Linked DNA regions of Oryctolagus cuniculus. The protein of the gene in region 1 interacts with the protein of each later gene in a biochemical or structural test. Links are inferred from orthologs where the notes say so. Each region holds a gene or a part of one and is shown on either strand. Other genes may lie near its edges. The genes, in order: NUFIP2 and FMR1.

Region 1 (3,814 bases):
CAGACCGATCAGCAAAACCTGGGGGATATCTTCCAGAATCAGTGGGGTTTATCATTTATAAATGAGCCCAGTGCTGGCCCTGAGACTGTTATTGGGAAGTCATCAGATCATAAAGTGGTGGAGGTGACATTTCAAGGAGAATATCCTGCCACTTTGGTTTCACAGGGTGCTGAAATAATCCCCTCAGGAACTGAGCATCCTGTGTTTCCCAAGGCTTATGAGCTGGAGAAACGGACTAGTCCTCAAGTTCTGAGTAACATTCTAAAATCTGGGACTACTAATGAGAGTGGAGCCTTATCCTTGGAACCCAGTCATATAGGTGACCTGCAAAAAGCAGACACCAGTAGTCAAGGTGCTTTAGTGTTTCTCTCAAAGGACTACGAGATAGAAAATCAAAATCCTCTGGCCTCTCCTACGAACACTTTGTTGGGCTCCGCCAAAGAACAGAGATACCAGAGAGGCCTAGAAAGGAATGATAGCTGGGGTTCTTTTGACCTGAGGGCTGCTATTGTATATCACACTAAAGGTAACTTCATTTGTTTCTTATACAAAGATTCTTACTGTCTAATTTATTTTTATTTGTATTAAGAGTAAATTTTGAAAACTATGAGCTGCTTTGCAAAGGTTAATTGAGAATGACAATGTGGATAAGAACCCAATATCAAACTCTTTAATTCAGGGTCTTTGGAAATAGTATGGTTAAACTTGAGAAAGAATGAATGTTCGTTTTTTCCTACTTAAAAACATTATCTTATATGGACAAGTATAAATTAAAGAGAGGTAGGCAGTGCCTGCCCAGAAGGGTGACATTATATTATCTCATGAGTTCTTCAAAAATTTTTTTCTTTGGGTATATGTTCCCTGTCTCTTATTTTTTGTATTATATGCTTAATTCCAAAGTCATTTAATATTTTTAATTTGCCTAAAATGAATAAGAGCAGTATTTTTGAAGAAGGGTCCAAAAAAGATGGAGTATCAAACTTTACATCTTTTATAAGAAGGAATAATGTGTGCTGAATAGTAACCAGAAAATAAGTTAAATCCTTAATGCAAATAGTGAGGTGTAACAAATGATATTTATAAACTTTTTGCTTTTTAGGACAGTGGTTTTTAATCTTCATACCTTTTCCACCTTTGTTCCCATACCCATGTCTGCATGGACACAATTAATAGATACTGCACATTCCCATTTTTAACATGGCCGTTTAGGCATGATTTGGAACTGCTGGGAAGAATATGCATATCAGATTGTGGGTATGAGGTAATTACCATATTTTCCCTGGAAGAAATCATTGCATCAGAGATGAATAACAAAGCTTTTTATGTGACTTGAGCAAATTTCTTAATCTTACATACCTTTCCTTCTCTGTGAACAAAAACATTTATTTGGTACAATGAACTAAATTGATCTTTTCCTTAAAAAGTGGAAAGCAGTAGAATTGCCTTATGGACGTTAAGGGACAAGAATTCTGGCAGGTAAAATTCACCTGCCTTCACTTGTTCTCTAGTTCTGCTCTTGGGAACTAACCATGAGGTTTACCCTGGAACTGGATTTATTTTTTTAGGGCTGTAAGGGCAAAAAAGAAATACTTAGTTCTATTTAAATTAAATTCTACTGGGAGGGTAGGGTGTCATTTTCTGTGCCATCTGCCCTTCAAATAATGTTATTGGAAAATGTTTACCAAAGTGTCTAGTGGTGGTCATTGTGTAGGCCTGAGAAGATATTTGGTTGTGTTATATTCTGCTACCTCAAAATTTGTGGGATCTGTTCTACTAGGTAGTTGATTAGTTGTTTTATGTATGATTCTCTTTTTTATTATGTGTAATTGTAGGCCTTTTTAAATGAGAGCATTAGTTTGTATTCCAGTTATTCTGTGTGCATTCCCTATATATGGGCTAACTAAAATCAGTGATTCAGATAAACTAAATGTGCCATATAGATGCAAATGTGTTTAGTTTTGCTGGTATTACTGAAAAGATTTTCTTTAGTAAGTTTGTGTATTAAAATGAATCAGGTTGATATTGATTGTTTTTCCCCTGGAACAACAGATAATGTTCAGTTTGGGTTCCAGAGTGGCAAGTTCTTTGAATTGCTGCCAAGTGTTGATTGGTCCATTAGTGATCAATTGGTTCGTTAGTTTTCCCTTTACTTGAATTGGTTTTAAGTTAACCTTTTGATCATCTGAATAACTTTTTATTTTTTTTTAAAGATTTATTTATTTATTTGAAAGGCAGAATTAAAGAGAGGGCTCACTCACCATATGGCTGTGACAGCCAAAGCTGTGCAAGACTGAAACCAGGAGCCAGGAGCTTCTTCCAGGTCTTCCTCGTGGATACAGGGGCCCAAGCACTTGGGCCATCCTGTGCTGTTTTCCCAGGCACAGACCTCTCTCTCTCTCTCTCTCTCTCTCTCTCTCTGTGCCTCTCCTCTCCCTGTGTAACTCTGACTTTTTCCAGGCTGAATCACAAGTGGAACAACCATGACCGCTACACCACGGCACCGGCCCCTAAGAGCATTTCTTTAGGTTATTTAGAGAGAACTGCCTGCTGATTCACTCCCAAGAGGCTGCAATGACTAGAGCTGGGCCAGGCCAGTCTGAAGTCGGGCACTTCATCTGGGTCTCCCATGTGGTTGCAGGAGCCCAAGCACTTGGGCCATCTCTGCTTTTCCCAGGCTATTAAGAGAGCTGGAGCAAAAGTAGAGCAGCCGGAACTTGAACCTGTACCCTTATGGGATGTCGATGTCACAGGCGTCAGCTTTACCTATTACACAATAATGCTGGTCCTGGAGTGGTGCATTTTTAAAAAAAAAAAGATTTCCCCCTATCTCTTTAACACTTTCAAATAAATAAATAATTTTTGTGTTAGGTTTTGTTTTTTAAGGCAGAGCAACAGAGAGGGAAAAACAAATATTCCATCTGCTGGTTCAGTCCCCAAATGACTGCAACAGCCAGGTCTGAGCGAGGCTAATGCCAAGAGCAAGAACTCCATCCTGGTCTCCCACAGGGGTGGCAAGGGACCCTATAATATTAACCATTTATGTGTGTAGTTCACTGGTCTTAAGTAACGGCTTATAACTATCACAACCATCCATCTCAAAAATGTTTTAGAGGCCAGTGCTAAAAAAGGTAAAGCCACCGCCTGCAGTGCCAGCATCCTATATAGGTGCTGGTTCGAGTCCTGGCTGCTCCACTTCTGATCCAGCTCTCTGCTATGGCTTGGGAAAGCAGTAGATTGCCCAAGTGCTTGGGCCCCTGCACTTGTGTGGGAGACCTGGAAGAAGCTCCTGGCTCCTGGCTTCGGATCAGCACAGCTGTGGCCGTTGCAGCCAATTGGAGTGAACCAGCAGATGGAAGTCCTCTCTCTCTCTCTGCCTCTCTTCTTCCTGTGTAACTCTGACTTTCAAGTTAAATAAATAAATTTTAAAAATATATACCTATATAAGCAGGCCAGCACTGTGCCGCAGAAGGTTAAGGCACCATTGCAGTGCCTTATGGGCTCCCATTCCAGTGTTGACTGCTCTACTTCATCCAGCTCCCTTCTGATGCGTCCGAGAAAGCAACGCAAAATGGCTCAAATCCTTGGGCCCCTGTACCCACATGGGAGACCTGGAAGTGACTCCTGGCTTCAGCCTGGCCCAACCCTGGTCTTTACAGCCATTTGGGGAGTGACTCATAAGAGGAAGACCAGTCCTGAAACTGACTTTCAGATAAATAAGTCTAAAAAAAATACATGTAAACGAAGGTTATGCCCATTAAACGGTAACTCCATTCCTTCTTCCCAGGCCTTGGCAGCCATTATTTTACTTTGTCTG
Region 2 (4,569 bases), on another chromosome or scaffold:
ATCTAGCTGATAACCTTAAGGGGAGGAGGAAGCAGAGAGACATGAAGGTATGAAAGGTCATCATAGGTTCAGGGAACAGTACCAGGTTGAGTGTGACTTGTGAAAAGCTGATATCTTTGAAAGGTTTGGCAGAATTGCACAACTTCTTAACATGTGGAAGGCATAATCATTTTAATCAATATATCCCTTTTACCTTGTTGGAGCTAAAGACAATCCTCTGCTTGCATCCAGCATACGGTGAAATTGTCTTTCAGAGCTAGTGGTATCATCACATCTCATGAGTACTCCAAATACCGTAGTCCAGTAGGTCATTTCCATTTAGTATAGCCACCAGGAATGTGGTCCTTATCCTACTAGTTTAAAGCTGAAGTTCCACAAGCAGCAATGTTGTTGCTCTGGCTGGGGGGGTGGTGGGAAGGGAATCGGAGGCCTAAAGATGCCTCATTCTGGGGCACCTGCCTGGGGAAGTTCATCTCACTTACCCCAACTAAGTGCTGCCAGTTAACTCGCACCTGTCACACTTCAGCTGAAACCATTTCCCTTTGGCTGCCCGCCCCTCCCCAATCCCAGACTGGGTCAGTTCCAGTATCATAGGGGTGTAATTATTCTTAGCCCTTATCACAGTTGTAACTCCACATTTACTTTTCTGATAATTTGCTTATGTCAATCAACTCCTATAGTTCCAAGTTCAATGTTGGCAGTCTTTTCTTTCTCTTTTTGCTCATCAATGTTTCACTAGCACTTAGTACAGTGCCTGGTACTTGGTAGGCACTCAACAAACTTCTCAGTTGGATACAAGAACTCCAAACAAAGGAAACAGGGAGAGACAGGTTCACACACACAGTGCAGAGGCAGGAATAAGGAATTAGGCTTGGTTTTAATGGAGCAGGGTCAAGGGGGAGAGATGCAAGGAAAATGTGCACTGGTCCCTGTGGACAGGTCGCGAGACTGCTACACACATACCCGTCGTCTACTCTAGTAGAGGATGGGCATAAGTAGGAGCAGAAATGAACCATAAAGGAATTAACCAGTGTTTAACACCCATTCTATTTTCACGTATGTCAAATTAATTATGAAACTGAATTGAGGAAAGGCTAACATTTCCAGAGGTCCTGAGGCAATGTGTTACCCATCAAAAGGCACAGGATGTATCCAGGGGACAGTCCAAAGTCTCTTGTGGGAGCAAGGGCGTTACTGTTTGCCCGCTGTTTTTATAGGTTGCATGAGGCTGGATTACCGTTAGCTGCCACTGTTACAAATTCAGTTTTCGCCAAATTCTTCACCTTTATTCTCCTCTGCTCATTCCACTTCCAGCTCAATGCAAAAAAAAAAAAAAAAAAAAAAAAAACCAACAAAAACCACAAACAAATAAAAAACCAAACCAAACGAACCGTTTTGCTCCAGTCATAGCCAGGCTGAACTCCAGTAACTAAATGCAGTCGACCGCTGCGAGCGGCCCTTTCTCACGACTTCCGACTTCACTGGCGCCTCTACAGTAATGGGCGCTGAGGCCTCAGCAAGCACACGAGACGGCACAACCTGTCACCGCCCTTCGCGCCTTCCCGCCCTCCGCCGAGCTCGCGCACGCCCAGCCCGCGCACCCCGACCCGGCATCCGGGCTGGTTCCCAGCAGTGCGCATGTGCGCGCTCCTCGGCCCTTAAGGAGGGAGAGGGCGGGGCCGAGGGGGCCGAACCCGCGGGGGGAGGGGCGGTGTCGGTCACGTGACTCGGTTTCACTGTTTACACGCGGAGCGGGCCGAGCTTTCAGCCTCAATCAGGCGCTCGGCTCCGTTTCGGTTTCACTTCCGGTGAGGGGCCGCCTTAGAGCGGGCGGCGAGCCGACGGCGAGCGCGGGCGGCGGCGGTGACGGCGGCGCCGCTGCCGGGGGGCGTGCAGCAGCGCGGCGGCGGCGGCGGCGGCTGGGCCTGGAGCGCCCGCAGCCCAGCTCTCGGGGGCGGGCTCCCGGCGCGAGCAGAGCTGACGAGAAGATGGAGGAACTGGTGGTGGAAGTGCGGGGCTCCAATGGCGCTTTCTACAAGGTACTTGGTTCCAGGGCAGGGCCCATCTTCGTTCTCCCTTTCCTCCCTTTTCTTCTTGGCGTCGGCAGGAGGCAGGCCTGGGGCCCTCTTCCCGAGTGCCGCGCCCGGGGCCAAGGCGCGCTCGGCGGGATGTTGTTTGGGAGGGAAGACCGGACCTGGGGCCTGTAGGGAGCCCCGCTCCGTCTCCGCCCTGCAGCTTATGGGAAGGAAAAGGAACCTAGGCGAAGTGGGGGCCCTTTCGGGGACAAGACCCGCCAGGGAGAGATGAGGATGGGGCAAAAGCCGGCGGCAGGTACGGGATCCTGGCGGGAAGGGCCGAGATCGGCGCTAAGTGACGGCGACGGCTTATTCCTCCTTTCCTAAATATCCTCTGGGATCCAGGCCTGACGTGTGGGTAGTTGTGGAGGAGCAGGGGGCGCTTCAGCCGGGCCGCCTCCTTCCTGGCCAAAGAGGGTTTAAGGTCTCCTTTGGCTCCTCTTTTCCAGTCCATCATTGGGACTTCGGAGAGCTCCCCTGTTCTGGGCAAGTAAGGGGTGCAGAGACAGAGTAAGAAGTGGTAGTCAGCACTCAATCACAATGGCAACTGATTTTCAGTGGCCTCTTTTTGTGGATTTCAGAGGAGATTTTACACTCAAAAGTTTCAGGAAAACCCTAACATCCGAGCAACAATGCATTAAAGAAGTTGATCGTCGGGAACGTTCACAGTCCCCTTGCCTTTATATAAATGGAGGTAAATTCAGGAATACACACGCTTCAGTCTCTAAAAAGATGAGCCGTTCTGCTGCTTATGTTTTCCTGTTTAAGTCTCCAAAGACAAATATATACCACACAGAAATTAACGGAGAGTTTAGGATTACTAGGGAATTTTTGAAGACCGTTTGGAAATATTTGCTCTGTGCTCTTAAGAACTTGACCATATTTTTTTTATTTATTCTCTACCGTTGCAGTGGATCTAACTATTGAGATTTTAAAAAGGCATTCATGGATTCACTGTCTTTTTAAGTTACATCATTGCAGCTCAACTATTAACATTTTTAAAAAGAACATTAAAAGTATTTTCTTGTATTGGTAGTGTTTATTGGGATGCACTTACTGTGTAGATCTAGTAATCTCTAAGTTCTTTTCATCTTGAATGTAACTTCTGTAAATATCCCACATGACAGCAGTATTTTAGCAATAGAAGATGCACATAGTAGTATGAAAAATAGTTATTAAACATAATGTGTTAACCAGTTTTGTGGAAACGTTTGGACTTCAACATGTAAGTGAGTAATATATATCTGTTCTATGCTTTCTGCAAAAAGAAACCTCTTACTGTACAAAGAAGCAAAACTGCACAGCATTTATGTTCTTAATCTCACCAATATAAAGCAGTTTCAGTTGACGCTGCAGTCAAAATTTTAGTTGCATTTATTTCAGTGATCCATAGTTTCTGCTTGTTTGTGTAGAATCTTTCTGGGTCCTGGATTGATAGTTTTAGTCACTTGTTTTGTGGTATTAACTATTAATGTATACATATGTGCATATATCTGTGTATGTATGTATGTATGCATATGTATATATACATATAGTAATGGTTAAGTAGTACCCTAATCTGTAATATCAGCTTAGATTAGCTTTGGCTCTTAACTCTCTTTTAGTGAAGTTTGCTTGCCATAGAGAGTAATTAAAACATCCTGGTCTTGAAAGATTTTTTGGCTCACGTGATTTCGTTTGTAAACTGTCTGGAATATAAGAAATATCCTCTGCCTTTTGTCATTGATCTTCCCTTTCTGGGTTTCATTTTTTAACAGAGTCACTAAATTTGAAGGTGAACAAACAAGAATGGGTTGTCCTTTAGTTCCCATTGGGGAAATATAATACTTGAATGACTATAGGGGAATTTTTTTATGGTTTTTAAATTAAGGTTGATTTTTTTAAGAAAACCTCAAATGGTCTATATTGATGGAAACATGGTTTTGATAAAGAAAAAAGGTTTAAACCTTTATATAACTTATAATATTGCTTTGAGTTAGAAAAGTAAAGCAAAAGTAAAATAAGTTCCTCATCTGGGATGGACAGGAAGGATGGAAAGTAAAGATCAATTTAAAAAATGATCACCTGGAGAAGTGTAAAATTTTTAGAGAAAAATGGAACATTGCTCATCAAGTTGATTTAAAAAAGTCTTCAGAAACTAAATAGATTAAACAACTTCAGGGTAATTTGAATTCAGACGTTGCTGTGCCTGGCAGAACCACCATATTCTGAAGGGCAGTTCTCCATCTTCTGAGTACATTGTCCAAGTTTGCAGTATCAACCACGGATAGATTGTATACTGAAAAATGTTTGATTCTTTCTCTAAAAAATAACTCGAGCTTAGGATTCAGTATTAACAGAACTATGAAATCTAAGCCCCAAGATGCAACTGTTCTATTTCTTTGCCCTTTGGTGTTTATTCTTAAAAACTTTGAAATTGGGTTTGGTAATCGCCAGAGCCACTACTTTTATGCTTAAGTACTTCTCTCACTTAGTAAAAGTTGATTACATGTAT

Evidence for each region.
Region 2: the proteins of NUFIP2 (region 1) and FMR1 form a complex in vitro, tested with the Homo sapiens proteins (2 studies listed by BioGRID and IntAct, with this or other methods). The link is inferred for Oryctolagus cuniculus from reciprocal best matches to the Homo sapiens genes NUFIP2 and FMR1.

Annotation. Positions count from the first base shown.
Region 1 is NC_091448.1:44,719,163-44,722,976, reverse strand, and holds part of NUFIP2 (FMR1-interacting protein NUFIP2), read left to right. Parts: coding exon 1-526; intron 527-3,814. UniProt on the Homo sapiens protein: Binds RNA.
Region 2 is NC_091453.1:126,438,538-126,443,106, forward strand, and holds the start of FMR1 (fragile X messenger ribonucleoprotein 1), read left to right. Parts: upstream 1-1,766; 5' UTR 1,767-1,988; coding exon 1,989-2,039; intron 2,040-4,569.